Kluyveromyces lactis: one gene and its partners. The protein of the gene in region 1 purifies or fractionates together with the protein of each later gene. This does not show direct contact. Links are inferred from orthologs where the notes say so. Each region holds a gene or a part of one and is shown in the gene's direction. Other genes may lie near its edges. The genes, in order: EPL1, EAF3, TRA1 and ACT1.

Region 1 (8,755 bases):
TCTCCTGTCTTATTGCCAGTTTCCGAAGTTCCTGAAGCGGAAGAGCGATCATCATTCTGAATATTGAAGGCAGTCTCTGGTGAAAGACAATTTTGACGTTCCTGACTCAGTGACAATTGTTGTTCATCACTATGGACTTCATTACCTTTGCCCGAATGCACCTTATTGGCGGGCGTCATTGAAGCATGTATCACATTTCCGTCTTCGTCTAATTCTTCTCTGATCTCAAAGAAACCTTCCTGGTCATCATCATTGTTAGAAACATTCGTATCTCCCAAAGATTTTGCACCGTCTCGAAGTAACTCCATGTTTCGCAATGTGCCATGTGCCTCTTTCAGTTTCTCATCAAATTGTGAAATGGCTTCGGCAATTAAGTTCAATCGAACCTTTATAAAAACCAGGCATTCTTCCCTAGATTTCTCCAAATAGTAATCGTAACCTATATTTTGGAAAAACTTACCATTCTGAAATACTACCTCACCATACTGCCATTCTTCTTCCGAATCTTCGCTCGTGTCAGCATCTCTTATCCTATCGAATATCTGTTCATACAACGGCTGCTGTTCCTTTAAGAAGGTTCTTTTGTTTACCAAATTATCTATGGTACCTTTGACAGTATCCATTAACTCGGCAAAAGAAGCCCCACCTTCTGCTGTTTCCATTGCGTTTCACGACTAAGACTGATTTTCTCAGCCTCTTTACCTGCCTCAGATAACTCACTCTTTCAACAAGCGATGAGATGACTTCATTACGGATGTCAAGTTACTGATTTCCGTTTTTTTTTCTTTTTGGTAGAAGCTCATACAATTTTTGGCATCACCATTTACCTTGACCCAATGGAAGTCACGTGAACAGAAATTCCTATTGTCTACCAAGGTGGTTATGGGAGACGTTCATATTTCCGTAGAAGACGTAAAAAATTTTTTTTTCTTTCCATAAGTTCGGATTTCAATATAGAAAAAACCAATACCCCCATTCACCGGACAAACTGTTGCGTTCCACCCAAACAACCAACATAAAAAGGAAAACCACGCGCTTCAGAACAGTCCGGTGGCTCGTTCAAACCTACTGAGAATCAACCATCAGTAGTGATACTTAAGGACTTTCATCAGTTCTGCAAAATCCGTACCAATAGCTGCTATCTTCAGTCCTATTTTAGATTTGGTCTCCTTGTTTTCTGCCTCCTTCACCGCCACCCGATTGCTTGCCAGTGAAGTTTTTCGCAAAATTTGGCCCCGAAAACAGGAAGAAAATAAATTTGGGCCCCCGTAAAAGAACCAATTTTTTAGAGGGATAATTGTAGTTACCCTTCCTTTCATATTTCTCGCTATTGAAATCTGGAATTCAAAGATCCTTCTTTGGCTTCAGCCGCATAGCTATCAGGGTAACTACACACGGGCATTGACACATTGCAGTATGCCAGCTCCTGCAGTGGATTCATCGAGGTTCAGGCACAGAAAGATCAGCGTGAAGCAACGACTTCGGATCTATAAGAGCCATGAAATTAAGGATTTGGAACAAGAAGATGTTTCGGCCATCAGTTCCCAGCATCAACAGCGAGAGCTGATGGAGATTGAAACTGGTGTGGAGAAGAATGAAGAAAAGGAAGAGCATTTATACAAAATTCTTCAATCCAATCAGCTTCGAGAGAACAAGAAGGATCTATTTATTCCAACACCAGACGCCTCGAAAACTTGGGACGAGTTTGACAGATTTTACCAAGGTGAATTCAAATGTCCTACGAGTTATATCCAGTTTTCTGCACAATTAGAAGATTGCTGTGGTACTTTGTATAATATGGATGAAGAAGACGAAATCTTTTTGGCAGATTTAAATAAATCCCTGGCGGATTCGGTCGAACCTCTAACGGAAGATGAGTTTGAATTAATTATGGCCAACTTTGAGTCTTCCATCAAAGATAGGCAACCCTTCCTGTCCATGGATCCCGAGAGTATACTTTCATTTGCAGACCTAAAACCAACCATGTTGAAAAACGATGTTGGTGATTCTGGCGTAAAAAAGGAACTCGCGAAGGAAATTGGGATGCCTGAAGATGAACCATTCTTGACAATGTTTGACAATAAAAGACCTCTAGGTAAAAGGGAAAAAAATATGGAGACTCTTATCGAATTGTTCGGAGAGAAAATACACGATCATTGGAAGCAACGCAAGATATCACGTCATGGTTGCGATATCTTCCCACAATTGAAATCGGAGCGTAATAATGATAAAGACGATAATGATCCATATGTGTGTTTCCGTAGGAGAGAGCTTCGACAACCTAGGAAAACAAGGCGGATAGATGTTCAGAACTCACAAAAATTGCGACTTCTATGCCAACAATTGGAATATACTAAAGATTTGGCACTCACTGTAGCCAAAAGAGAAAGAGCAGTATTAGAAGTCCTAGAAAACGAAAAGTTCGTCTTCCAAGCGCGAGCCCAATTGAAGACAATGAAGAGAAAGTTAGGCATAGATGCCGATAACGAGGATTTGTACTCGGCAAAGAAACAAAAACTCGTGAGTTCGGTGCGTACAATCAAACAACAACAACAACTTCTTCTTCAAAAACAGCTACAGATACAACAGCAGCAACAACAGCAACTACAACAGCAGCAGGCAGCCATTACTTCAGATTCATCTGTTAAACGTGCAAAATCTTCAAAATCGTCGAAACTTCACAAAGAAGACAGTGGTCTATATGCTGATGAGAAAGGAAGCGAGCCAAAGAAGAAAGGCCCAAAAACTGGTTCAAATAAAAACAAAGAACAATCACTGTCATCTGCGCAGGAAATTGGAGCTCAGTCGCCTGTTGCCAATGTCTCGAATGTACAACAACAGCAAAAACAGGCATCTTCTCAAGTATATGTTAAATTGCCTAACTCTAAGATACCTGATATCGTGTTAGAAGATGTCGGTAAATTGTTGCATTCAAAGGAAAAAAGCACAAGGAAATTTGTTGAAGACAGGATGAGAAAAAGGAAACAGGAAGATGGTGACATCTTTTTCAACCTCACTGATGATCCTTACAATCCTGTTTTCAACCTTTCAATACCAGATAACGTCAGCCCCCAAGATGCTCCATTTTCTTCTGTTGCTGGCTCAAAGTTCGAAGTAAAAACATCCTACTATTCACCTAATCTTCAAAATTATATCACTGGCACTGCGAATGATATAAAGGTTTTTAACAAGGAAGGTGAAGCTGTGGAGAACAATGAGTATAAAAAGTTAGAATTTTTCAATCCATTTGATAACGAGATTCATACTCATTCTCGTGAATTTCCAATCGCTTTCAGACGCCGTCGCGGTCGTTTCAATATGGAATATATTGACCAAAGAAAAACTGATCACAATATTAACGACATGTTATTACAATTTATTGATTTGGATGGAATACAGAAGCAAGAACTCGATAATGATGTTATAAATGTGTATGATTCTAAACTGGATGATTTATCCAGGTCATATTATCACTGGAAATATGATTCCAATTACAACATTTACGGGTCCAAGTTTTCCGACGAACCGGCGAAGTTGAACCAAATTTCAAACGATACTCAGGTGGTAAGATTTGGAACCATGTTAGGATCCAAAGCATACGAGCAACTAAGAGATGCCACCATCAAATATAGACAGGAACAAATCAACAAAAGAAAGAAACTGAATTCCCTGCAACAACAGCAAATGCTACAAAAGGGTCAACAGCCCATTAACAATGCTCCTCATTCACAGTCCTCTTCCCCACCATCTCATCAGGACACTAGGAAGAATCCAGGATCAACTCCAAATCAGTCCAGTCCGCCAAAGAAACACGTTACTCCTAACGCTGCTGCATAACGAAATTGTAAACTTTTGATGACACCAAATCCCATTATAAATATGAACTTGTAATTAGTATTTTCCGCATTCTTATGCGAATCTGTAACAATATAGATAATTCATGTTATTAAGCATCGTGAGCTGCATTATACATCACGTGACTGAACTGACTTCAGCTTCTTTTTTTTTTGGTTTACGCATCTAAAATCGGCATCTTGCATCTAACATTATGTACCATTGCAAGCATTGATTGATGAACTATGCCCAGAATAGTGCATTCACTAGGAACACTAAATTTAGAATAATACCTAGGATACTGGTAGTGGTTTACCAAGCCAGTTGTTAAAATGGTCCAAATTGACTTACCGGCTGAGTCTGCTGTTCGCATCAGGTATCCTACATTGACGAAGAAACTAAGGAAAAGAAGCACGCTTGTAATCATAGTGGGCTTGCTTCTGCTATGCATTATTACCTCCACTCATATATCTCATAATTTCAGCGGATCAGATACACCTAAATGCAGATCAATCTATATGTACCCTTCGTACGCCAGAATTGATGGATTTGATTCAAGACACACTAAACTCGCCAAAAAATACCACCTCTACCTATACAGAGAACAAGGTAAAGATAAAGAGCCGAAACATGGTGATGAAATACAGCTTGATGGTATACCTGTCCTTTTTATTCCCGGCAATGCAGGAAGTTTCAAACAAGCTAGATCTATAGCTGCGGCAAGTGCCAATTTATACTTTGACCATAAATCAACTATTCAAAATTCCAATGCAAAGAACATGGATTATTTCACAGCCGATTTCAATGAGGATTTCACTGCCTTTCATGGGCAAACAATGCTGGATCAGGCTGTATACTTGAACGATGCAGTACGATATATCTTGTCAATGTATGCTCAAAGCGCTGCCTATAAGGAATCCAACCGCCCACTACCTAAATCTGTCATTTTATTGGGGCATTCCATGGGAGGAATAGTGGCAAGATTAATGCTTACACTACCGAATCACATACCAGAGTCTGTAAATACCATCCTGACGTTGTCGTCCCCTCATTCAACAGCCCCCGTCACTTTTGATGGTGATATTCTAAAACTTTATGACAGGGTAAACTCATACTGGACCTCAGCCATGAATGATATGGGCAGTTATTTTCGAAACAATGTTTCTGTGATCTCCATAACAGGTGGTATTTTGGATGACATATTGCCTGCCGATTATACAAATCTCCAAGGTATTGTTCCTGAATCAAATGGCTTCACTACATTCACTACTACAATACCGGAGCTATGGACCCCAATTGACCATTTGGCAATAGTGTGGTGTGATCAGTTGAGATATCTTTTGGCAAAATATATTCTCGAAATTGTCAATGATGATGCAGGAGGAAAAACCGCGACTTTAGATATTAGAATGCGCAAAGGAAGAAAGTTTTTCTTGAGTGGACTTGAAAGAATTACTGATGCAGATAAATTGATCGATAAAAACTTAAGCGCCCCAGCCGTAGATTTCAGCGACACAGAAAGTGTCCCTGAGAATCATTTACTTGTCTTAAACTCTTCTGAATCAATGTCCACAGGATATGCCTTCAATATTTCTAAGTCTGTCGACTATAGCTTCGAAATGCTCACATCACTCGTCCAATTCGATATTTTCTTTTGTAAAGACATATATGGAAAGGATTGTATTAACGGATTTTCAAGCTTTTCCAAAGTTCCTCACTCCACAAGTCTACAAAAATTCCCAACTGACTCGTCATGGGGAGAATCGGTGTCTCCTTTTCGCTTTATCTCATTAAATGGCTCTCTATTGCAGGGTTTCCAAATAATAGTTTTCCAGGGCTCAATGAAAAAGAAGGAAGACTTTGTTCTAGCAAAGTATAGCGATGATAAGAGCATTGAAACTGCAAGCGACGGATTGTGGAAACTATCTTTATTCCCTTTTAGAATGTCCTTAAAAAATAAACATTCTTTTGTCCATGGCCTAGCATTCCCAAATTTATGGTCCTCGCTAATCTCCTTCAATTTGAAAACAACTTTCTCTGACGAAATAGATAGCATGTTCAGACCGATGATGAGACAGTATGTTAATAATCCATATGAAACCAAATGGCATTTATTGGCTGCCTCAAGTTCTCATGAAATCAATATGCACAATATATCTCCCTTCATACCACTTGATGATACCATAGACAAGTCATTAAATTTGATGTTCTTCATCCCACCTGGAGAGGAAATTTCTTTAAGACTATCCATAAACTGGAAACTAACATTGAAGATGCTTTATATCAGATTCAGATTAGCTTTTGCATCAATTCCAATATCGATAATTGCTTTAGTCTTATGCTACCAGTTTTACTACTATGACAGCCCTGATAGTAAATTCATCAGCTTTGATACTGGTTTGATGAATGTTTTGAATAATCATAGTCTATTAATATTCCTCTTTTTATCAGTAGGACCGATAGCAATCAATCATAAGGCCATATTGACCTTGCTGCATTACTTAGACCCTATTTCTTTGAGCAAACCAAGTAGCGATTCTCATATGTTGAACAATAACTATATGCTGGGTCTACGTGAAACATTTGTGTGGTGGATTGGACCAGTCTTTTTCATAATCTCTGTCGCATTATTATTCATTATTTTGAGACTCATAAATGTCATCGAATTTGCAGTTATTAAAATTTCCTCAGCAATCACAAGATATACGCGTATCACATTTCCTGATCCTCTTAACGATATGACACATCATAAACTACTTTTTAATAACAGGCAATTACTGGGAGTATGTTTTATTTCTTTGGGAGTCATGGTCTATGTCCCATATCAGTTCGCATTCATCCTTGTAAGCTTAATTCAAATGTGGAACTGCATGAAGCTGGCAGTCTTTACAAACAGGAACAACGCAAAATATTCCAATATACACAACTATAACGTGTCATTCTTAATGCTAACAATATTCATGATACCAATCAATGCTCCAATAGTTGTCGTCTTCTTGCGTAATTTTGCGATTAGGTGGGAGACGGCCTTCAGATCGCATCATAATTTCTTAGCCATAGCACCAACATTGCTTCTAACATTAAGAAATAGTCAGTGCAATATTCCTATAATCAAGAACAGAATGAACTGGCTGATCGTTGTCTCAATTCTAGGATATTTATCCTTTTATTCTTTCATGTACGGCATAAGAAATTTATACTGGGTCTACCACATTTCCAATATCCTTAATGGGGTCTTATTCTTCCTAACAATATTATGAAACTAATCGATAAAGAGTAATTCTAAAGTATAATTAAATGAAATTAAAGAACCAGCAGATACTATGAGCTGCTATATGTATACCTTACTAAAATATATGATTGGTATGATAGAGCTCAACAGAACGTAAAAAACTAGAAACCAGAGACACAGTGTTTATCTTAATTCTTTGAATACGGTTTTCGATTGCATTAAACCGTCATCTTTGTTTTCATGAATTGCATTCACCCAAAATGCCCTTGCCTCTTCATCAGCATCTGTTTCTGAGGTATAGATGTTGGAAGCTTTCAATTGTTTAATCACTGTTGCATCTGTTGATCCTGGAGAAGAAACAAAATCGGACCTTTTTGCTCTATCCATAAAAGATTCGCCAGACTCTAAATCCATCTCCAACTGTGTAGATAGTTCAAGTTCCTTTGAACTACAACCATCCGAAGTTTGTGGTGAGTTACTGAAAGAGTATTTGTCACTAAAGGCTTTACCATAAGAGTAGGATGATGAATCATCACGATTTTGTGCAGAGTAAGGGTTGAATTGGCGATAGAAAGTACTGGCACTTGGTGCATCATTTGCAGCAGCAGCCCAGATAGATGTCAAAGGTAGGGAAAGAACTACAAGCAATGTAGCAATAGAAGTCAACGACTTAACTCCTTTATTGTTCAGCGCGTAGGCGAGAATATACAAAACCGATGGACCTATTAATGTCTGAGTAGACATGATGAGTAGAATGTGAAATGAGTCAAATTGTTTCAAACCTAAATGTCTCCTAGCTCTGAAAGCCAGGAAAAGTTTCACTGATAGAAGAAGAGTGATGAAATTTATTGAACATGCAAGTAAAATAACTGCTATGTTGTAATAATATGTGTCAACTTTGTTCAATGGACTATCATACACTACAATAATAGATTTTATTGCAGTAATCATCCACATGGCTACAGTTGCAGCACCAAAACTAGCGGAGACGCCAGTCAAAATGATTCCTATCTTCCTATATCTATCTGCTTTGAAAATGACTCTTACCTGAAAGACTAACGAGACCTCAATACACGCAACCAATAGACATTGAATTAGAGTCACGGCACCGTAAAGATGTTTGTCACGGTCGCCTATCATCTGTGGGAACAAAGTTAGAGCAAAGGGAACTCCTCCAAAATTGCTCAACAAATATGATAGATATAAAGCAGATTGAACAATTGTAAGAACCAAAGAACTCTGATTTATTATGAATATCGGCGTCTTTCTATTCTTAGAGACCATCCACATTATAATCAACGCTAATCCAGCAGCGCCGATCCTTGTTCCAAAAATAATTGCTTGGGTGATGTTTTCATGGACAAGATTTTGTAGCTGTTGAAATGTTATTTCAGTCCCATCTCCGTAAATTGAACTGTATGTTAGGACGGACTGCAATGGATTATATGTCTCATTGTAGAACAATGGGTTCAAACTGGGTATCTCTTCTGACATGTTAAATAAGTTAATGCTTATTGTCAAAACATTAAGGGTACTTTGACGTAAAAATTTGAAGGATGTCAAATCAACATTGAGTCTCTCAATCTCACCTTGTATCACAGAGAGGTGCCTTTATATAGTCACTTTTGAAGTATGTTCTCTTGACATGAATAAGTTTCATGAAGGAATGAAAAAAAAAAAACCTCAATA
Region 2 (7,550 bases), on another chromosome or scaffold:
GAAAATCTATTCTGGCTACAGATATCATGCAATCGCAGAATAATGACACCGTAGTTTCCTTCGATGATAAAGTCCATGACAGAATCTTACTTTCAGGACACTCTGATGGATATGTGAACTTAATTGCAACTTCAATCGAGAATGGGAACGCCAAAATTCTAAGACGTTTCAATCATTCCAAACATTTGAAAGTGATCACCGATAGCATGGATAGTGTTGATCTTGCTACGCAAATTTATAACACAAGTCGTTCAAAACCAATTCGTCATTTGAAGACCTGGAACAAGCATCATTTCACCTCTGTCATTAACGATTCGTTGTTTGTCTATGACGTGAACCAACAGTGCAAAGACCCATTATACTTGAACAGTTTCCCCGGTTTGGAACACGTTGATGTTAACCCAGTCAATCCATTCACATTTTCTCTGACAGGAACGAAATTTGGGCAGTCCGGAATTGCATTGTTGGATCTTCGTTTGGGTGATGGTAACGGAATACGTGTCCCTGGACCTCAGGACAGCAATGCCGAGTCTGGCAAATGTTATACTTCCAAATGGTTAGATGAATATACGGTCGTTAATTCGGTCGGAAAGGCATTGAAGATATGGGATATCAGATATGGGAAGGTTAGAGCACACCTGTTGGGTCATAACGGACATGTCAACAGTCTCGATTACGATAATGAAATGAAGAAAATATATAGTACAGACGATCAAGGCTTAATAATGTCCTGGGATATCAAAGATTTGAAATTCACCGACCAAGTAATGTGTTGCAGACCATCTCATGGTATCCAGAGCTTTGGATTACCAGCGGACTGTGTGCAAAACGGTAACATTATTCAATCTCCAGATCTGGAAAGAATCGGAAACAAGAAACATCTAGGGAGTCATTTCGTCGGCTTAGCAGACTCTCATTTCATATCCTTGCAAGATCAAGAGCTAAGATCGTACTCGGTTGTTGACATGCCAATGGTTTTACCTCCACCAAGGAACCCATTACGTCTACTCGAATCCGTGTCGACCGAAACGAAATCAGAACCTCCAGCTACTATGGTCTACTCCAGTTCAGATGAAACAACCAAGGATAGTAGCAATTCTGCGTTTGAAGATTCTGAGGATACTCTGGAATACGAAGCCCATTCTCCAATGACGCCTGCACTAGATAGCATGTTTGACGGTAAAACCCATTCATTCGATATACCCACAATCCCTCTTCTGTCTGGCATTAGAAGAGGCAGCGATGCCACATTTGTATGCGAAGGCTTATGATACCCGTTCACCTCCCTCAATCACCTTCTGCAATTCATTGAAACCTGTTACCCATGTGGAAATTATATTGCATTGCATTCACTTCAAATTTAACTTACTATCAGCTAATAAATAATTCAATGATTAAATATACTCTTCAAGTGCTTAATTCGTTATTTAAGTTCCTTGAAACTAAATTACAATTTATATTAAAGTAAAGTAAAATATTATGAATATGTATTTCTATTTACATATCTGGATGTTCATGTAATTTGTCAGTTCTCCTCAGCTAAAGCAAGGGTGTAAGTTTGTCTAATAAATGCGAACCGAGCGAGAAAGATCATGGGAATGGGAGAGACACAAAGATATGAAAGGTTCCTTCTTGCCTTGGAAAAAAAATTATAAAAGCAAAACGCTCAGCGTTAAATGTATCCGTGTGTGCCTGTTATTGGAGAACCCAGACGATCAACGCCTTTTCAGCTCTTACAACAGGACAACAAATAGGTAAGGAGGGTTAAATTAACTTATAATACATCTTCTCGTCATGGGCCTAAAAAATGGGCTAGCAAATTCCACAGCACAATTTTGAAAAAAATCCGCCTTCTTCAATGGAATCATTATCGTCATACTCTTCGTTATTCGGAATGCGTCTGCCATGAAGCTTACCCATTGAATCGTACGATTGTATATTGAGGTTCTGTTTCAATGGTACGTTTGGTCCCACAAATCCATTGCCCTGTGACAATCTCACCCTACTGTTCCCCATACTGCTATTAACATTTTTCTTTTGAGACTTATTTGGTGTGCTTTGTGAGAAAGACCTATAGTTACGTGAATCGTGCCTACTATTCTGTTGTTGATGATTTTGTCCCTGTACTTGCCCCGGTGCCTGCTGTTGTGCCTGCTGTTGATGCAATGGTGTAAGCTGTTGAGCAGAATGTTTTGTATTTCTTGGTGTTGGATTACCATACCCATGCAAATTAACTCTTTTGTTGACCTTAATGTTCCAACCTTGACCGCCGTTCAAATCCATCCAATCGTAATGACCATCTTCTTCGTACCCATTTTCTTGCATGATTTGCGTCATCAAGGAGATCAAATAATCATAATCTGGGTCCTGATCGAACCTTAACGATCTACAGTACGATAGATATTCAGCAAACTGTTTTGGTATCTCCGGTGTCAATAAATCCGTTGGTTTTAACCTCTGTTTCGTGAGTCCAATCTTTTCATACTTAGCCTTGTTGTTAAGAGCTTTCAAACCTTGCCATGGTAAGGACCCACGTAAGAAATAGAAGAATACGTGGCCAAGGGACTCCAAGTCATCTCTTCTCGATTGCTCTCTACCGAAATGGGTGTTTATCGACATGTACCGCGCAGTCCCGCTCAAAGATTTACGCTCTCTATATGGTATATGTTGTTTTGTGTTTGGGTCCCTAAACTGCTTTGCCATTCCGAAATCAACCACGTATATTAGGTTTGCGTCACCACCACTGCTTGTGGCACACGACTTAACCACTGACCCATCCGATAACTCCCGTTGAAACTCAGATATCAAAAAGTTATCCGGCTTAATGTCCCGATATATCAAATCATGCTCGTGAATAGAACGTACTCTATCAATCATCTGTTTCGCCAACATTGCTGTCGTCTTTACGGAAAATTTTCGACTACACCATTCAAATAAATCTTCTAACGACGGACCCAACAAATCGATGATCAAAATGTTATGAATCCCCTCTTGACTGAAATAATACGCATGAGGAATTCCTCTCACATCATTCAATATCCTATATGCGCGAAACTCATCCCGTAACTGTGGTGAGTCAGACCGTCTGGGTTCAAACTTTATAGCAACAGGGTTCTTCGACCCACCATTTAGAATGTTTTCACCTTCAAAGATTATTCCAAACGAACCTTCCCCAATCTTAGGACCAACAGCATAGTGAATTCCTACCACATGCTGGGACGAACGTTTAGACATTGCAAAAGCACCGACTCTGGGTTTTATCAAGTCCTATCGGGAAACAAAAAAATACAATACTAGGAAATGTGGGAAACCTTTCCTTTCTCTCTTGCTTCGAATAAAATAGTTCAGTAGCCACCACTCAAATAACGTCTCATCGACTCAGAATACCAATACAGATGTTTGTCCGCGTGTAAAAGATCGTCCTTGCCAGTCAGAACCGTTGTGGTTTGCTTCTTTGGTCACTGTGATAAAAGGCTGTTTCTTTCAAATTTGTTTTTGTTTCATCAACTTTTTTTTTTCTTTACTTTGGCATTAAAGGTCAGAACAGCATTATTAGGAGAGCTTTGCAGACCTTGTGTGATGGTAAGAGGTGGATATGCGACGTGATTAGTGGCGTTGTGGTGCTGGAATTGGTGTTGAAGGGTGGCCAAGACTTTATGAATTGATACTAGTTTGACTCTAGTGCTTTGAGGCAATACTTGGAGATATCAGGTCACTTCCAATGTCATATCATATCACGTGAGTTGTCACGTGATCAGAATTTCCCACTTCCTTCTTCTTGGAAAGTACTGCATTCCTTCCAAGTAGCTGCGGTTTATATACCATTACTATCAAGTGCTCACCTAGTGTTATCTACTGTTTCTATACTGTCCGTTTTCCCATGTTTCTTCACGTAAAATTCAAATGCCAAATCTTACGTTAAAGCTACCATCTAGCACTTTCACGAAACAGAAGTTACACATAGTATTTGAACCTGCTACGCTGGTCTTTCTCCAAAATTTAATTGTCCCAGGGGAACTTTCAGTAGCTGTTGATCATGGCAATTGTTCTAGATGGGAAATGTTTGTGTTATCACGGACCTTTGCTCTATGAAGCCAAAGTATTACGAGTTTACGATGAAAAGAATCAGACTATTACATCAAAGGACTACAAAGACGTGAGTATTGACGATGAAAAAGTAGAATTTGATCGTCCGCCGGAACATATGAGACAGGGCCAATGCTATTTTGTGCATTACCAGGGCTGGAAGTCGAGTTGGGACGAATGGGTTGGTTTAGACCGAATCAGACCGTATAACGATGAGAATTTGGAATTGAAGAAGTCGTTGGTGGAAAAGGCTCGAGAGTTGAAGAACAATGGTGGGAAGAAGAAATCAGGATCACGGCCTGTTGGCAGGCCTAGTAAGGTTGAGAAGGGCAAAAAGGCGGCCAGCCGTACCTCAAATAGTGGCAGTGGTACTAATACTTCGGCAAGTTCGACTTCCGCTTCTAATCCAGCCTCATCTTCATCTTCTGGTACAACAGCAGCAGCTTCCAGCTCTGACAAATCCGACCGTAAGAAGGCAACCCCAGTACTAAACAAAAGATCACACCCTAAGATACACATAAAAGTCCCTATCTCGCTTCGTTCTGTGCTTGTAGACGACTGGGAAAACGTCACAAAAGACAGAAAGCTAGTACAACTACCCAGCGAACGGCCAATCGAACATATCTTGTCCCAGTTCTATGCAGATACTAGCAATTCGACCTCCTCAGTGGTAGAACAAGCTCAACTCTCAGAATTTCTGCAGGGAATAAAACTCTACTTCAACTTATCCCTGGGGAAATTACTCTTGTACCGTCTAGAAAGAATCCAATATGCAGAACTACTGAAAGCACACTCGGAGAAACAGTACACTGAAATTTACGGAATTATCCATCTACTAAGACTAGTCACTTTACTCCCCGAAATGATGGAATCAAGCAACGTCGATGACCAAACTGCCAAGATCCTAGTGAAACAGTGCGACATTTTACTCGAATGGATCGCCATAAACATCGCGAGGAAAAACTTCCCAGTAGATCCCTACATAAACACGTCCTCCCAATACGAGGGGGTCGCACTAAGCATGTAATATATCTCTACCACATCTCCAGACCCCACCACATACACCGTTATATATATATATATCCCCCAAAACCCTTTTTTCGGGGACCCCAGAAATATTATTTCCGGGCCGTGATTATAAGCGATCAACATCTGAAAAACAGTTTCGATTCGACCGTACTCATCATAGCATAACAATCACAAGACATCATAAATATACTGTTCGTTATCCTTAAATCATCAGCTGTCGGAGCCTCGGAGTAAGCAGTGTACTTCAGTATCTATTGATATATTTACGCTGTACAGCAGACGGTGGTAGAAAATGATGGGTTCTGAGAGTAAGGAAGCGTCGGAGGAAAAAGTAGGCGGCAGATACGTTTGTCCTCATCCAGATTGTGAGAAGACCTTCTCACGGTATGAGCATTTACAGAGGCATAAGCTTAACCACTGGCCGAAGCAGATATTTCGGTGTGAATATGTTTATCCTGACGATGGGATAGTTTGCAACCGGACTTTCGTTCGGAAGGATTTGTTGGTGAGACATCAGAGACGTCACACGAATAACGGTGTTCGAATGCAGATGAAGGTGAGAAGAGAATCTGGCAAAGAAAGAGCGGCGGGTGGGTCTAAAGCAGCGGCACCGCAGCTGCCGGATACGGCGAGTGTCGCTGGTGTTGGACAGCAGCCACAACAGCAGAAAAAGGTGGATCATATCGTACTTGATGTGGGGGATAAAAAGCACAATAAGGCGAGCTCGGGTAGCGGACATGCGGTTGGCCATGACAGTAACTCTTTGCCCAATAGCAGTAGTACGACAAGTAGTAGTAATACTAGTCTGAATGCTGGGTTTAACGCAATGGGGCCAGCATCAAACGGTAACTTGAACAGTTTCTTCAACTGGTTGTTCGCCGGTGGTGTAACTCAGGATGCTACGCCTCAACAGAATAGTAGGTTGGATCAGCCATCTGATGCAGTGCCACCAACTGCGAAGTTGGAAGATCCATCAATTTTGTGACCGCCTCTGTCACAATCCCACGTTCAGCCACAGTACCAACGTCAGCAGCAGCATATTGATAATATTCCCTTGGACCAAAAAGCACACATGGTTCCGCCTCAACAACAGAGTTATGATCCTGAACTTAACACAGGCCTCAATACCAATCCAGGATTAACAAATATCGTGGATGATTTATTCTCGGTGGATTTCTTACCAACAGATCCGTTACAAACCTTGGTGCAGCAGATGTCTTACAATGATATCATCCCTCAACAATCGGGAGAAAGTGTCGCTACCCCATCTAATGCAGGCTCTGTTACTTCATCCATCGACTCGGTTCCAAATAGATCTCCAAAATTTAAAGATGTTGGAAAGGAGAACATTAAGGACAATTTACTGGCACAGAAGTCGAAAGTCGGAGAGTTAAAATCGCAACTGAAACGGTCAGCAACAGTTTCTACCGTTGAATCGGATTCTCACAGACTATCAAAAAAGCAGAGGTCTAAGCTGATATCCAGGCCGTCATTTTTCAATATAGACCCTAACTCGAAGTTCAAACTATCGTTGGAAAGACAAGGTACATTAGCACTGCTAATCGCGGACGTGAAATATATTATGTTAAACAAATTACAAACTGCATTGAAGTCATACTGGTTGAATTTCCATCCACAATATCCAATTTTGCATAAACCGTCATTTGACATTGAGAAAGAGCCTCCAATTCTTATTCTTAGTATGATTATGACCGGTGCTTCCTATCTGGGATCTGCCACTCGTCGTACGATAAGTGATGTTATTGCAGGACCATTACGTTGGTTGATATTTTCGCATGAAGATTTCCAACCACCATCGGAGACTTATATTATTCAGTCACTTTTATTGCTTGAGTGTTATGAAAAGACCAGTACAAATAGATATTTGCATGAAAGAAGTTATTTGCATCATGGTACCACAATTCAATTACTTCGTAGAACTCCTTCCTTGGGAGGGCATCCGTTACGTGTCAAGAAGGAACAATCACCATCGAATTACGAATCAATGGAAGTGATATACAAAAATTGGATCGATTTTGAGACTTTGAAAAGAACAGCATTATACGCCTTTTACATTGACACAACTCACGCAGTTGTGTTCGGATACACATACCTATTTATTCACTGTAATCAAGTGAGGATTTCGTTGCCATGTTCGGACGAGATTTGGGACAGCTACGATTTATCGCTCGACAAATTATTGCAACATGGATTTGGAAGCAAGGATATAAGCTTCCTTGACGCGTTGAAAGAGCTTTTGAACCATGTGATGCATCAGTTGCAAAGATCGAATAACACAAACAGTTGGACCAAGTTGAAAACGAGCAAATTTGGCAATAAATTGCTACTATCTGGGTTGATATCTATCATGTTCCAATTGCAACAACATTCGGAAGTGATTTCACTTGGTGCCGACAACCCATTAAGCGTACAAA
Region 3 (8,039 bases), about 290 kb from region 1:
GGGTGATAAACATTTGCAGAATTCCTTAACTGATATTGTCTGCGAATTAAGCAATCCGACTGAGATAGTAAGGAATGTTTGCCAGGAATGTTTGGGAAAGATATCTACGCTGACCAAAATCCCGGTGGTTACTTTAATGAACCATGCCAAAAACTTTCTACTTTCCCCAATCTTTGCTAAACCCTTGAGAGCATTACCGTTTTCGATGCAAATTGGTAATGTAGACGCCGTGATATATTGTTTACGTCTTCAAAACTCTTTTTTGAAATTCGATGAGGAGCTATTCCGTCTTTTACACGAATCAATTGCCTTAGTGGATGCCGACGACATATCACTAGCCAGCACCCAACGAATTACCGAATACCAAACATCCCAACAGTTAATCAAGTTAAGAGTTGTGTGTATCAGGTTACTTGCACAAGCCTTATTGAACCCAGAATTCGCTAACGCGCAGAATGGATCTATAAGAATAAAGGTACTAGCCGTATTCTTCAAAACCATGTTAAAACCTTCTCCAGAGATTATTGAAGCGACGTATGAGGGGCTGAAAATAGTTTTAGCAGAAAATTCTAAATTACCTAAGGAGCTATTGCAAAATGGGTTGAAACCAATGTTGATGAATCTATCTGACCATCAGAAACTAACCGTACCCGGGTTGGAGGCACTAGCAAAACTCTTGGAGCTCCTTATCGCGTACTTCAAAGTGGAAATCGGTAAAAAGTTATCCGATCACTTAGATGCATGGTGCCAAATCGAGGTTTTGGATACTCTTTTCGGAAAGGAAATCACTCAGCAAACGCCGACTAAGATCATCTGCAGTATTTTCAACATTTTTCACTTACTTCCTCCTCAAGCGGGAATCTTTTTGAATGAGTTAGTCTTTAAGCTTATTTCTCTGGAACGTAAGTTAAGGTTACAACTAGACTCTCCGTTCCGTGTACCTTTAGCAAAGTACCTCAATAGGTTCCACGTGCAGGTACTGACCTACTTCAAAACTAATATGAGATCAAGACAATTAGTACTTCTTATGTGTTCTATAATACAAAAGAAAGAAGCTCCTGTTTTGAGAAAGGCTTTCGAACCGCAGCTAAGGGAATTCTTGAAATTCTACGTCGAAAAAATCCCAGAGAACCCTGTTCGCGTAGTAAGCTTTTTTGCAAACTCAATTGATTTGGTATATGTTTACCACACTTCGAATGAAGAGAGTTGGATACTGGAGAACTCAGATATCTTATTTGAGTTAAAATCAATGTTAACAACTGTTCTAAAACTTATCAATGAAAATTCATTTAATATTGATATACTTCAATTGAATCAAAGTATTGAAAAATTCCAAATGATTTATTTGGCCTACTTGAAACAGAAAAAATATGATGTACCTCTTTTCTTAGAAATGATCCAGTATTCGTATGATAATGATCTCAAAATCCCAAATGAAGTGAATAGCTTTATCTTTGATGATATTATCAGCTGTGTCGACGTTCAGTTAAAAAGAAAATATATTTTAGAATGTTTGCAGTTTTCTCTCCGAGAAGAACGTTCTCTAAAAGCTAGGAACTTCGTCATTAAAAGAGTGGTGAATTCCATTATGATTCATGAAAGCACCACTAAGAACTCTGTGGATGAATTGATAAGTCCGGATAACGAAATTTTCGCATTTCTTAACCAGCATATATGGAATCCGAAAAGTTCTTCTGTTGTGTTAAATACAGTGATAGGAAAGCTTGATTCCATTCGATTTGAGTTATTGCAGCTCACTTCAATATTGTTAAAATACGCTCCTACGTTGCTTGAACCGGTAAAAAGGGATCTGATCAAGTTTGCATGGAAATTCATAAAGTTAGAAGACATTCAGTTGAAACAGGCTGCTTATGTAACGACGTCATTGTTCATCTCAAAATTCGATCTACCAGTCAACATAGTAACCCAAGTTTTTGTTGCAATACTCAGAGTCCATCAAATTGAAGCAAGGTTTATGGTAAAGGAATCATTAGACTTATTAGCACCAGTAGTAGCAGATAGATCAAAGGGTTCCGAAGAGCCAACTACGTGGGTTAATTGGGTAAGAAGGGTAATATTAGAAAGTAACTTCCAACAAAATACCATCCTCTATCAATTCTTAATAAGTCAAAAGGACATATTTTTCCCTTACAAAGATATGTTCATTCCAAACATCATATCATACATTGGTAGATTAACCCTTTTAACCAACCCTTCTACCGAAAATCAGACGCTAACCATTGATCTTTGTGATCTAGTTATGTACTGGGAAAAACAAACCTTTTCGGCTCAAAGCAAGGATGACCCCGATGTCAATATGGACGGTTCTGAAGGAATAGTTACCTCTTCTTCTACCTCTCTTTCACAACGGGAAGCATTTGCGGCGTTTTTGATTCGTTTCATTTGTGTTAGTAACCATAGGGCCTGTGAAACGCCATTGGGATCAAAGGCATTATCTGTTTTAACTGAGTTACTATCCATCGGATACCTGCCAGAGGCAGTTGTCAAATTGTCCTATTTCGAAAAATTCTTGATCCAGCAAGATCTTGAATCAGCCAACTTGTTGTATTACTGTATGAATGCTTTAGATGTATTGGATATCATTTTTAGAACAAAAGACCCCAAATGGATCATCAATAATCTAAAAACAATCCAAACCCTTTTGGATAAATGTCTTCACGCCAACCACCATGACTTGCAAGAAGCTTTACAAAAGGTATTAAGCACTGTATTAACAGCTGTCAAAGACGATGATGTTCCGTTTGAGAGTGAAGAAGATACGGATAGTAAAGTGTTTGTGAACCTGGTTAGTTCCATCATATCTGAGAATTTGAATGGAACAACTTCTGTTGCCGCAGGTGTAATTTTGTGCTGGACACTCTTTGTTAATATTCCCTCACAGATCGATGTTTTATTGCCCTTATTGATGAAAACTTTCAACAAACTCTGTAAGGATCATTTAACCATCTCCCAGCCAAAAGACGCCACCGCTGTCGAAGATGCTCGTATAACCACGAAACTTTTGAAGAAAGTTTTCTATATACTTTCTTTCAAAGTATCTACCCTTGGGGATTCCAGAAGGCCGTTTTTGTCTACAGTCGCTTTGTTAATCGATCGTTCTATGGATCAGAATTTCTTGCAGAAGATTGTTCTCATCGCTAAAAATTGGGTTTTCACCAATGAAATATTCCCTACTGTTAAAGAAAAGGCGGCAATATTGACAAAGATGCTTGCATTTGAAATTCGTGGAGAACCTCACCTTTCTAAGCAGTTTTATGAAATAATATTGCAGTTGTTTGAGAATAAAAAATACAACAACAGTGAAATTACCGTGAGAATGGAACAACCATTTTTGGTTGGAACCCGCATTTCTGATATAAAATTAAGGTCGAAATTAATGAACATCTTAAATGGCAGTTTGGATAATGACATAAAAGAAAGGCTTTATTACGTTGTTAGAGATCAAAACTGGGAATTTGTGGCCGATTATATGTGGTTAAGTCAAGCTTGCCAGTTACTTTTCGGAGCATGTGTCATGGAACATAGAATTAAACTCACTGAGCACTTCCCACTATCTCCACTAAGCGCTATTGAACGTAATATTATTGTTGAAGACGAAGATAAGGTTATCACTAATTCCGCTTTGGAGTCTTTGATTAGAGAGCATCAATCGTTCATTGACAAAATAAACTCTATTAAATGCTGTGACATAATTAACCCATTAGTTGATATATTCTATCAGAGTCCAGAAGCCGTTCGCGCAACCTGGGTAAATGTGTTCCCTGTTGCTTATAAATCGATACCGAGGAATGAAAAGTACGGCTTTGTAAGATCATTGGTCGCTCTTCTATCTAAAGATTATCATACCAAACAGGCGTCAATACATGTTAATGTCATAAGTACAATGTTAGAATCGGTAAGCAAAATTGAATCGTTAGAACTTCCACCTCATCTAGTAAGATATTTGGGAATTACGTTCAATGCATGGTATCAATCAATCGACTTACTTGAACAGATTCAAGAAACATCCAATATCGATAATAGTAAAATTCTAGATACAAACGAAGATGCTTTGCTTGAGTTATACTCGAGTATACAAGAAGACGATATGTTCTATGGATTATGGAGAAGAAAGGCAAAGTACACAGAATCTAGCATAGCTTTATCGTATGAACAAATCGGTTTATGGGATAAAGCACAGCAAATGTATGAAGCTGCTCAAGTCAAGGCCAGAGGCGGCTTTTTGCCCTATTCTGAGTCAGAATATGAACTATGGGAAGATAACTGGATCCTTTGTGCCAGTAAATTGCAGCACTGGGATATCCTCACCGAGTTAGCAAAACACGAAGGATTCACAGATTTATTGTTAGAATGTGGATGGAGAGTTGCAGAATGGAATGCCGACCGTGAAGCGTTAGAGCATTCTGTAAAGAGTGTTATGGATGTACCAACTCCAAGAAGGCAGATATTCGAAACGTTCCTAGCTTTACAGCAGTTTGGGGAAACCAAAAAGGGAGATCAAGAAGTCAGACGTCTCTGCGATGAAGGTATTCAACTAAGCTTAAAAAAATGGCACTCCTTACCAAAACGCTACACCCCAGCACATAAGGCATTATTGCATTCATTCCAACAGTACATGGAGTTCTTAGAAGCCACTCAAATATATGCTAATTTAGCCAGCACTACGGTGCAAAATCTAGACACAAAAGCACAAGAAATTAAACGTGTTTTACAGGCTTGGAGAGACAGACTACCTAATATTTGGGATGATATTACTATTTGGGACGATTTGGTCACCTGGAGACAACACGTTTTCAATGTTATCAATAGTGCGTATCTGCCATTGGTACCAGCACTACAGCAAGCTAACAGCAATAGTAATATTAACACACATGCTTACCGAGGTTACCATGAAATTGCGTGGGTGATAAATCGCTTTGCTCATGTAGCTCGAAGACACAACATGCCTGATGTTTGTATCAGTCAGTTGGCCAGAATTTACACTTTGCCAAACATAGAAATTCAAGAAGCCTTCCTCAAACTTCGTGAACAAGCTAAATGTCATTATCAAAATATGAATGAACTAACAACTGGTCTCGATGTTATTAGCAACACTAATTTAGTCTACTTTGGAACTGTTCAAAAGGCTGAGTTTTTCACATTGAAAGGAATGTTCCTCTCCAAGCTTCGTGCCCATGATGAAGCCAATCAAGCCTTCGCAACTGCTGTTCAGATTGATTTGAATCTCGCAAAAGCATGGGCTCAATGGGGTTTCTTTAATGATCGCAGACTCTCTGAAGAGCCAAAGAACATCAGTTTTGCTAGTAATGCTATGAGCTGTTACCTCCAAGCTGCTGGCTTGTATAAGAATTCAAAAACAAGAAAGTTACTTTCTAGAATTTTGTGGCTACTAGGGAGAGACGACTCTTCTAACTCACTAGCTTACGCATTTGACTCATTCCGTGGTGAGATACCTGTTTGGTATTGGATTACATTCATTCCTCAACTGTTAACTGCTCTTTCTCATAAAGAGGCCTTTTTAGTCCGCAAAATATTGATCCGTATTGCTAAAAGTTATCCTCAAGCATTACACTTCCAGTTAAGGACAACAAAAGAAGATTTCGCTGTAATACAGAGACAGAGCTTAGCTTTGGCAAGAACTCAGGGAGAACCTGCGGAAACAGAGAATCAAGAGAACTCCAAGCATCCATCTCCAGACAATTCAAGAACAACTTCACAAAACAAATCCCAAGATCAAGATATGTATCCTAACAATCGACAACCCTGGGAATATCTCGAAGAATTGAATGGTATTTTGAAGACAGCATATCCATTACTCGCTCTGTCATTAGAATCACTTGTCGACCAAATCAACCAAAAGTTCAAAACTAATCCAGATGAGGATTTATTCCGGTTGATTAATGTTCTATTGATTGATGGTACATACAACTACAACAGATTGCCTTATCCAAGAGAGAAGCCTCCTTTACCCTCAAGCACGGAGGCTAATTTGATCAGATTCTCAGAGAATTTGTTACCACCAAACATTCGTGTTAAATTTAACGCTGATTTTATTGAGAGTAAACCAGACTTCGAAGTTTACATCAAGAGACTACGTTTCTGGCGTAACAGACTTGAGAATAAACTTGATAGAGCTCCAAAGGTAGAGAGTATGGAGGCAATTTGTCCAAACTTGAGCAATTTCCACCATCAGAAGTTTGAAGATATAAAAGTTCCGGGACAATATCTATTGAACAAAGACAATAACACACATTTTGTCAAAATCGGCAGGTTTATGCCAGAAGTCGACTTCACACGCGGCACTCATACATCCCACCGAAGATTAACGATAAGGGGGCACGATGGTTCTTTACATTCATTCGCAGTACAATATCCAGCCGTGCGTCATTCTAGGCGAGAGGAAAGAATGTTCCAATTATACAGACTATTGAATGAGAGATTGCGTAAAAATGTTCAGACTAGACGTCGTGATATTCAATTCACTGTACCAATCGCTGTTCCACTATCTCCTCAAGTACGTGTTATGAGTGACAGTGCGTCTTTCAGAACATTGCATCAAATTTATGACGAATTCTGTGCCAAGAAGAACATGGATAGGGACGCTATTCAAGACTTTATCACTGAACAACTTAACGTTGCACATGACAAAGTATTGCCCCCTCCCGACATAACCGCAGTGAAAGTTGAAATTTTCAGTTCAATTCATTCGTTGTTCATTCCATCGACTTTATTGAAAGACTACTATTCCAAATTATTCTCAGAGTTCGAAGATTTTTGGTTATTCCGTAAACAGTTTGCTTCCCAGTATGCGGCGTTCGTGTTCATGACCTTTATGCTATCCATTAATAATAGATCTCCACATAAGATATTTGTCGATGAGAAATCAGGTAATGTTCATACTTTAGAAATGTTACCATCTCGTTATTCTTATGAAAGAGTGAATCAATATGCAAAACAATTTGAGACTAACTTGCCAAACTCCGCTCCTGTTTTCCATAATAATGAACCTGTTCCATTTAGAATGACACCAAATATCCAAAAGCTTATCGGTGATTCCGCGATGGAAGGTGTATTCTCTGTTGGATTATTTGTAATTGCCAGGGCATTGCTGGAGCCAGATCATGAATTGAACACCTATCTATCTCTATTCATCCGTGATGAAGTTATTTCATGGTACAGTAGCATGAACCGTTCTATTGTTGAAGATCCTCACTTATATGCCATTGTTCTGACGAACGTTGACTTGATTATAAGAAAGGTGGCCCAATTTGGACATATGAGTTCTTCTCCAAGTGTAGCAACTCAGTATGTGTTAGATGCTATCAGTGCTGCTGTGAGTCCTAGAAATTTGGCGAAGTGTGATCAAAGTTTCATGGCATGGTTATGAGATGAACAGTTCATGATGATATTATATCCGATGTAAAATTAAATTTGTATACTAGTTAAAAAAAAATGTAAAAATAATGTATCGATATTACTAACATGATTCAATCATTACTCTACAGGTTTTCACAAGTTAATTGCATTTTTAGTCAAGATTTCCTTCCAATATACCCTTGTTATGATCGTTATAATGGCCATATTTTTCTGTTAACTGGGTACTAAGAGGAGGTTTTTCAGGGGACTCCTTCTTGAGCCACATGACGGCTTTTGCCCAATCTAGATTCAGCCTTTGGTACAAAAGATAAATTAAAACTATGCAAAAAAGCTCAAATATGGATGTAACAAAACCAGCAGTACTTGTGAGTGCCATTCTTTCTGTCACATCAACTGTGGCGGATCCTTGAGATAGCCAAAATTTGATACCATGAACATACCCTCCACTGTAATATAAAAAATTCCAAGTGCAAATCATTGATAAAAAGAAAGTTGAAACACCCACCACTGCTATCACTGCCAAGCTGTAAAATTTGGGTCTTGTGTACCAAATGCGTTTAACCAAATAATGAGAGAATAGACAAACAATTAGACTATACCCACTCAGCCAAACAAGAACCGGTGACCCATTTTTCAAAACC
Region 4 (8,167 bases), on another chromosome or scaffold:
GTTGATACAATCGAGGGGTATCTATAATCCAGTAATTGTTGATCCTTGTTCTTTCAAGAAAAAAAAATAATTATGCGATCTCTCTGTCCTTTACAAGAAAAAAGTGAAATATAATATGGGTAAAAATAGTAGTCTTGTCCACAGTATATTAAACAAACAAACTAACAAATCGAAATAGACGAGTTCTCACAGCTGTTATCTATAAAGTTATCTCTAACCCGTGCAAGCCTGTTCACAATCACGTCTGTGTTCACTTATTTAACCACTTTAAATTGTTTATTTATTTGTTTTTATTTGTTTATTTTTTTCCTCCTTCTCTTTCCTCATATCTTTGTTTGTATTTTGATCTTTGTTTCACTTCTTTAGGCAATTTTCGAGCACGTCTATTTCCCTTTGTGGGTTGCTAAGTGTGCGGGTAATACGGGAAACGGAAACTTACATCGCGTGATTTGCACGTGACTGTGATGTGTGAATTCCTGCGTAGTGTCAGTTCATCTAAAGACAAGAGTTGAGGTTGCAAGTGAGCAACACATTCCCCTAAGATTTAGAATAGTTGTCGAAGTGTTCCATGAGTCCAAAGACTGAACAGACTATTTTCTCGGATCATTTTCTTCACAGCTGACTTTCCGTATATGATAGAATCATACGGAAACTGGAATACTGCAATTTTCCCTAACTTTCGATTCTAGCTGACATTTAAAGACGATGTGAAAATTTAAAGAGAAACGGATTTCAGGATTAGGAAATTTAAAGAGGGAAAAAACGTCCAGTACAGTTTGTTAAGAGAAGGAAACCTATTAGTTGGAGAAGCGAAAGAGGGTTTGACTAGTTGGAATTGATCTGTCCAGTGCTACATTTTTATGTATATAGTAATCGGAAGGTTACTTTGATTAAGCTACGGTATTCTATTTCGAACCGAATCGAATCGGATCAGGTTAGCAGGTCTCTTTTTTTTTTTTTTTTCTTATATTTTTGGCTATCAATTGATTAACTGATTGTGTATTGAAGACGAAAGCTGTTTACATATTTAGCTTTTCAAGGTGTTTTTGTCATCGTTGATTGTGAACTCTTAACTTAGCGGCTCAATAGCAGTTGATTATCTCGTCTCCAAAAGAACTTTCGTGAGTTAGTTACTAAGGTTTCATTTTAAAGGTTTTCTTTTCAAGAAGATGTCTGAGGGAAGTGGCAATGGCAGTGGTAATCGTTATTCCAATGCTGCCGGTCAAAATGGAGGCAACAGGCCTGCTCAGAGACCTGTAGCCCCTCTGAGTGCTGTGTTCCGTACGAAGTTGAAACAGCCTCAGTTCTATTGGTTCCTTGGTCACACGTTATGCTTATACTATTATATCCAATATATGCTCTCATTCCGAGAACAAAGTGTAAAGACAAATTACAGGAAGATCATGCTATACACAGTGATCAGTTATGGGATTGTGCTTCACCAATATGTGAAATCAAAACAGTTAAGATTCCAGTGGTCGAATTTAAAACAGCAGATCAGACAGTTGGATAACCTACAATATTTTACACTTTCCATTGTTCTTTTGATATGTTCTCTATCAGGAGGGAAAACTTTAACTCAAACTGAATCATCTATGGTTATATACTCTTTGTTCCATGCATTGAATTATTTCAAAGAGAATGTATTGCCATTCATTCCAATGAACCCCATGTTAAAAGGTTCATTGTCAAATAAAATCTCGTATTTCATCACCAATTTCAACGGGTCTTTCTTCCATGCTGCAGTGATGTCAGAACTTGTAACGATGTGCAAAGTGTGTCTCATGCTGCCCATACAGTTAATCTCTGTGCTTATCACATTCAATGCCAAGAGTTTATTCACACTTCTATCAATCTGGGCATACGCTATATTCTTTAAGTTAAGATACAATCAAAGTGAACAAATGAGGTTGCTATGTAACCAGAACCAAATGATGATTGAAAACTTCATCTCAACTCGTTTGCCTATGTTCATGGACAAATGGTTAGGCATTAAACATTTGGCTAAAGTCTTCTTTGATAGAATCCTTGCTTGAAAACGCTAGAACCAGTTAGAAACTCGAAACTTAAGTTCATTCATAGAGTCTTCCTGCAAGTTAGTCAGTAGAGCATCTAGATATACACATGCATACATATATATGTATCTTAACTTAGAAAAAACTCATCCAAGCAAAGATTCTTGCATTCGCATCTTACATCCTGTGAGATTTTGTAGAGTTTCACATCTCCCCTAAAGATTACTACGAATCATTCCTATCAGTTACCTGAACTTTGTAATGTCTTCATCCATTTCATTACTTGTCCGAAATAGTTCAGTGTAGTGTAACAGGTTCATTACTGATCTATATCAACAACACTGTGTATTTCTGTGTCACGTGATGGTAATCTTTTGTGGAATCTTTTCCGTTCAGGAGAACAAAATTCAAACAGTGAAACCTGGACCGAAATACATTCTATTAAGCAACAATAGCATAGTTTCAGTTATTCCAAATGCGGTTTGATAAGACGCTTGCTTTTTTTCTGGTTACTGTTGCATATTTACTGAAAGCTTAACTAAAGGATAGACTTTTATTTTGGGGTTGTTATCATATTTTATCTTATACTTCCTTTACTCATTTTCTTTAACGGAGAGATATTAACAACGAGGGATACAGAAAGGTGTGTTTAAAATAGAGAAATATTGTAAACTTACAACGCAGTCCATCCAATCACAACTTACAAAAGGAGCCCATATTTTTTAACAAACAGTCGAATCGTATCAGTCGCTATAAACTACAAGCAAACAAAGAAAAAATGAATACCGAATACGATTATTTGTTCAAATTATTGTTGATTGGTGATTCCGGTGTTGGTAAATCTTGTTTATTGTTAAGATTTGCCGATGATACCTATACCAACGACTATATATCCACCATCGGTGTTGATTTCAAGATCAAGACTGTTGAGTTAGATGGCAAAACTGTTAAGCTACAAATTTGGGATACTGCCGGTCAGGAAAGATTCAGAACTATTACATCTTCTTACTACCGTGGTGCCCACGGTATAATTATCGTTTACGATGTAACAGACCAAGAATCCTTCAACAACGTCAAGACATGGTTGCAAGAAATCGACCGTTTCGGTACAGCTGGTGTGTTGAAGTTACTAGTTGGTAACAAGAACGATTTGACAGATAAGAAGGTGGTTGACACCGAAGTTGCTAAAGAGTTCGCAGATTCTATTGGAATTCCATTCATCGAAACCAGTGCACTAGATTCTTCTAACGTTGAGGAGGCCTTCTTGATCATGACCAAGCAAATCAAGGAAAGTGTCGCCAAACAACAAAAAGATAATGGTAGAGCTGAAGACAAGTCCAACGTCAACTTAAAGGGCCAATCATTGACTGGATCCAATGGTGGTTGTTGCTAAATTGGATAGCATCATCGCTATGTTACTATACACTAAGTGTCTGAAAAATCAGGAACTGAATTTAAGAACTGTCTGATAATTACCATATTTCGAAGAATTAATATCCCGTATACATCACAAACAACATTAAGCACCATTTGCCCCACATAGCTTTAACGAAAGAGCCGGTGGTTGTCTATTTAGAGCCTATTATAGTTAGACTTAATTTCAATTACAATCATTATTCCTTTCTTTCTTACTTTCTCTATATATAAGAGAATGTATTCGTAGATATATGATGGATATAGTATATACAACCCCTTCTCTAACATTAATCTATCGGTATCTTACCTGAGATTTATCACCACGTTTTTCCCTCTTCAATTGTCTCTTTGATTTGGAAGGTTCAGCGGGCGTTGTCTCTGCGAGATCCGCCTTTGAAGCTGAGGCACCGGGGAAATACTGTTGCTTCAAGTAGTACAACTTGTAGAAAATAAACGCAGGGCACACTAATACCAAGAACCACCATTTCATCGTGTTGAAGAAAACTGTTCCCAGGTTACAGAACAAGGAAACATACACGATATCTTTCATGTATTCAGTGAGTCCACCAGATTCCAAATCGAACCCTTCATTAACTAGTTTATATTTTCCATGCGCAGCGTTACTGACTTCATATTTTGGTCTACCGGTACGTTCGAGAATATATAAACATAACAACATCGGCACATTGAAAAGAATAGGTTTTAGGGTTGAAATCAGCCCATTACTGAACCATTTCCTCAATAACGTTAAAGATAGTATAGCGACGACTAGTACGTGCAACTGCTTTAAGATGGCTGCGTTCTTTGCAGCAATCTTCTTGGACGATTTTCCAGCCATTCTACAATGGGTGGGTGAGATTCTTCAGAGATAGAGATAGATGTACATAAATGTACTGTCGAATATTAACCTGATCTATTAATACCTTCCCGTTGCTTCAATGATAGTTGATGATGATCCACGTAACATATATTCACGTATAGATTTCAACTGCCGAGTCATTATAATCCGGGTAACGTACATATATGTCACGTGATTTTGAATATACACATTAATATACGGAGGATTAAGACGATATGCGGTCATAATGAATTGTAAAATAAACCAGATGTACTAACATCCAGAGATCGATAACTGCCTCATGAATACAATATACTACGATATAACTATTCTACCGACAGCCTACCAACGTTATATCAAACTTCCAGCCTTCACAAAGCCTTCAATTGCAAGTCCGCCCCTCCAGCTGTACAGTGAATCCCACGTAACCACTAGAAAACCATTACCGCAACTGCTCCGCCTCGTGGACAATGACAATCGTCTCCTATTTTTCATCAGAATTCTTTTTTTTTTTTTAATTTGTTTTTTCGAAATTTTCTCTTCTGTTTCTCTGGACAGCTAGTGCGATTTATTGTATGAGAGAGTTTGAAATTTGATTTAATTTACAAGAAAAATAAGAAATATCTTGATTTGTTTCCTCCTTCTTTACTGTCTTTTACGATCCAAAGAGAAGAAAGGTTGTTTCAGAATAACGGTTTTTTTGTTGATTGCAAAAGGAATTGTACAACATCTTCACGCGCTATAGTATAACAATATGGATTCTGGTATGTGTGGAAACGTATATTTGATTACGGTGGGTTAATTGGGTGGTTAAAAAGTTTGGATATGTTTTATTACTTTGTTAGGTTTCCGGTTAAATGTTGGGAGGGAAAAGATAGGATAATGGCAGCGCTTTGCGCTGCCATTGTCCATTCTCTAACTCCCTAAATCAGATTTAGAATTAGATGTACAACGCTAATTGAATGGGTTTTTTTTATATATAGGGGTTTGGATTAGAAGCTTTGTTCGAGAATTGGATCTTTCATTTCCTGGTTCTACCTTCTTACTATAACGTGTTTTTCTTGGGTTTTGGGTGACTAACTTTGGATTTTGGGTTTTTTTTACCTGATTTAGGAGGCGAATTGGAAAGAAATTTGGAAAATATAGGCAAAAAAAGATAATTTGATGTCACGTGATGATGTGATTTTATATTACAATGTTATTCCTTCCAGTCCAAGAAGGAATCAAAGTACACCTTTAAGTGGTGCAGGCATTGCCCCTCGTGGTTCGGTTGTCCCTATTTTTTTTTTGATTTATTTTTCTGGTTGCTAAGGTTAGCCCCTATTTTGTCCGCGACAGGACTTTTAGCGTTGAACAATCACATAACCTCATGATCACCCAAAATGCACCTGTTACTTTTGTTTTCTTATCTTATGTTACTAACAATTATTTTTCTATTTGGGATGGCTGAATTCACTTTTTTGGAACACCTAACCTACCCAAACGTACGGTTTAGTTCCTTAATCTGCATTCTGCTACTCGTGATGGTTTTTTATTCTAAACAGAGGTCGCTGCTTTAGTTATTGACAACGGTTCTGGTATGTGTAAAGCCGGTTTCGCCGGTGACGACGCTCCAAGAGCCGTCTTCCCATCCATCGTCGGTAGACCAAGACACCAAGGTATCATGGTCGGTATGGGTCAAAAAGACTCTTACGTTGGTGACGAAGCTCAATCCAAGAGAGGTATCTTGACTCTACGTTACCCAATTGAACACGGTATCGTTACCAACTGGGATGATATGGAAAAGATCTGGCATCACACCTTCTACAACGAATTGAGAGTTGCTCCAGAAGAACACCCAGTTTTGTTAACCGAAGCTCCAATGAACCCAAAGAACAACAGAGAAAAGATGACTCAAATCTTGTTCGAAACTTTCAACGTTCCAGCCTTCTACGTCTCTATCCAAGCTGTTTTGTCCTTGTACTCTTCTGGTAGAACCACTGGTATTGTGTTGGATTCTGGTGACGGTGTTACCCACGTTGTTCCAATCTACGCCGGTTTCTCCTTGCCTCACGCTATCTTGAGAATCGACTTGGCTGGTAGAGATATCACCGACTACTTGATGAAGATCTTGGCTGAACGTGGTTACTCTTTCTCTACTACCGCTGAAAGAGAAATCGTCCGTGACATCAAGGAAAAGCTATGTTACGTCGCTTTGGACTTCGAACAAGAAATGCAAACTGCTTCTCAATCATCCGCTGTTGAAAAGTCTTACGAATTACCAGATGGCCAAGTTATCACTATCGGTAACGAAAGATTCAGAGCTCCAGAAGCTTTGTTCCATCCATCTGTTCTAAGTTTGGAAGCTGCTGGTATCGACCAAACTACTTACAACTCCATCATGAAGTGTGATGTTGATGTCAGAAAGGAATTGTACGGTAACATCGTCATGTCCGGTGGTACCACCATGTTCCCAGGTATTGCTGAAAGAATGCAAAAGGAAATTACCGCCTTGGCTCCTTCTTCTATGAAGGTCAAGATCATCGCTCCTCCAGAAAGAAAGTACTCTGTCTGGATCGGTGGTTCTATTTTGGCCTCTTTGACCACTTTCCAACAAATGTGGATCTCAAAGCAAGAATACGACGAATCTGGTCCATCCATCGTTCACTTGAAGTGTTTCTAATCTCCTTCACTTTTTTTTACTTGACACTCTTATAAAAAGAATACAATTAAAATAAACGATGAATCGATTCATATAGATGAACCCAAAAATTGAAGCTTATGAAACAAAAAACTAACAATTATTAAAACTTCATATAGGGACGATTTTACTCCAAATCTTCTTTGTTTTTATAATTTTGTTTTGTGTGTTGTTTTTATTTATCTTCGATCGCACAGTCATTATTCAAGTTCCAATCTTCTATCTTATGTTGTTGGAATATTCTACTTCATATAAATGAAGTGGGTAGTTTAGTATGAAAGTTAATAAGTTAATAAGCCGAGATTATATACGAACGAAATTCAAATTCAACATTAAAATTAAACAACTCCAATTGAAAGTTATATACGGCAATTATTGAATATTCGTGCGAGGCTAATTGCTTAAGTTGATCATCTGATAATTTGAAAAGGATTTAAAATCATCATATGTTCCAGAACAAAGATTTTTAGTGTTGAAAGTTATTCTTAGTTTATGAAATAGTAAATTATTTAATATGTACAATAGATAAACAAGACTAAACTAATAATTCAACGTTCCGTCACTTCAGTGGTAGTAGTGGTACACACAAATGAGTCAGGTTCTGGCGCACCAGACCTCTCGGGAATACTTTCAAAATCTGCACTTTGATCCGACTCTATCTTTTCATATTCAACTTCTGCTGACAGCGCGTCTTGTTTGAATAGATTGTCAATATCGTGTGGTGACAAATCTCTCGTCTCAGGAAACCACATAATTATAATGAAAGCTAAGGCTATTGTTGATGTTCCCAACATTACGAAGGTCCACCATTCTACGATTTGCATTAAATAAGGTGCCATTAATGCAAGGGCAAACCCTGTAAACCAACTTGTCGATATACAAACTGATAAGGCCACGGATTTTATGGATTCTGGTAAGATTTCGTTAGTATAGATAAAGCCAGCGCATGACAATGATGAAGAGAATACCGAAACAAAGAGGAAACATAAGGCGACAACTATATTTCTCAAAACAACATCGCCGACGTGCCTTTCCCTTTCACCAATTAGGAATCCTATCAATAGCATGATACCACCTAAAAATACACTTGCCCACCCGATGAATACTTTGCGATTAAACTTGTCTAATAAAAAGACAGGGACTAAGGTAAATATCGTATTGACAATATAAGGTCCTGCGGTTAATTTCGAGCTGACATCATCATCAAAGCCAACCATT

Evidence for each region.
Region 2: the proteins of EPL1 (region 1) and EAF3 purify together in Saccharomyces cerevisiae (affinity purification with western blotting; 14 studies listed by BioGRID, with this or other methods). This does not show direct contact. The link is inferred for Kluyveromyces lactis from reciprocal best matches to the Saccharomyces cerevisiae genes EPL1 and EAF3.
Region 3: the proteins of EPL1 (region 1) and TRA1 purify together in Saccharomyces cerevisiae (affinity purification with mass spectrometry; 15 studies listed by BioGRID, with this or other methods). This does not show direct contact. The link is inferred for Kluyveromyces lactis from reciprocal best matches to the Saccharomyces cerevisiae genes EPL1 and TRA1.
Region 4: the proteins of EPL1 (region 1) and ACT1 purify together in Saccharomyces cerevisiae (affinity purification with mass spectrometry; 10 studies listed by BioGRID, with this or other methods). This does not show direct contact. The link is inferred for Kluyveromyces lactis from reciprocal best matches to the Saccharomyces cerevisiae genes EPL1 and ACT1.

The regions. Positions count from the first base shown.
Region 1 is NC_006042.1:2,333,293-2,342,047, reverse strand, and holds EPL1 (Epl1p), read left to right. Parts: upstream 1-1,416; coding exon 1,417-3,837; downstream 3,838-8,755. Other genes in the region: BUD27 (prefoldin-like protein), read right to left, coding at 1-662; BST1 (Bst1p), read left to right, coding at 4,167-7,094; alpha-factor pheromone receptor STE2, read right to left, coding at 7,250-8,560.
Region 2 is NC_006041.1:1,189,165-1,196,714, reverse strand, and holds EAF3 (Eaf3p), read left to right. Parts: upstream 1-4,036; coding exon 4,037-5,113; downstream 5,114-7,550. Other genes in the region: DSE1 (Dse1p), read left to right, coding at 1-1,271; casein kinase YCK3, read right to left, coding at 1,813-3,234; KLLA0_E13487g (C2H2-type zinc finger protein), read left to right, coding at 5,408-6,100; SDD4 (Sdd4p), read left to right, coding at 6,188-7,550. UniProt on the Saccharomyces cerevisiae protein: Component of the NuA4 histone acetyltransferase complex which is involved in transcriptional activation of selected genes principally by acetylation of nucleosomal histone H4 and H2A. The NuA4 complex is also involved in DNA repair.
Region 3 is NC_006042.1:2,050,402-2,058,440, reverse strand, and holds the end of TRA1 (histone acetyltransferase TRA1), read left to right. Parts: coding exon 1-7,408; downstream 7,409-8,039. UniProt on the Saccharomyces cerevisiae protein: Essential scaffold subunit of the transcription coactivator SAGA complex. SAGA acts as a general cofactor required for essentially all RNA polymerase II transcription.
Region 4 is NC_006040.1:456,703-464,869, forward strand, and holds ACT1 (actin), read left to right. Parts: upstream 1-5,023; coding exon 5,024-5,033; intron 5,034-5,813; coding exon 5,814-6,931; downstream 6,932-8,167. Other genes in the region: PER33 (Per33p), read left to right, coding at 1,170-2,036; Rab family GTPase YPT1, read left to right, coding at 2,794-3,408; SND2 (Snd2p), read right to left, coding at 3,724-4,269; KLLA0_D05379g (uncharacterized protein), read right to left, coding at 7,498-8,167. UniProt on the Saccharomyces cerevisiae protein: Actins are highly conserved proteins that are involved in various types of cell motility and are ubiquitously expressed in all eukaryotic cells.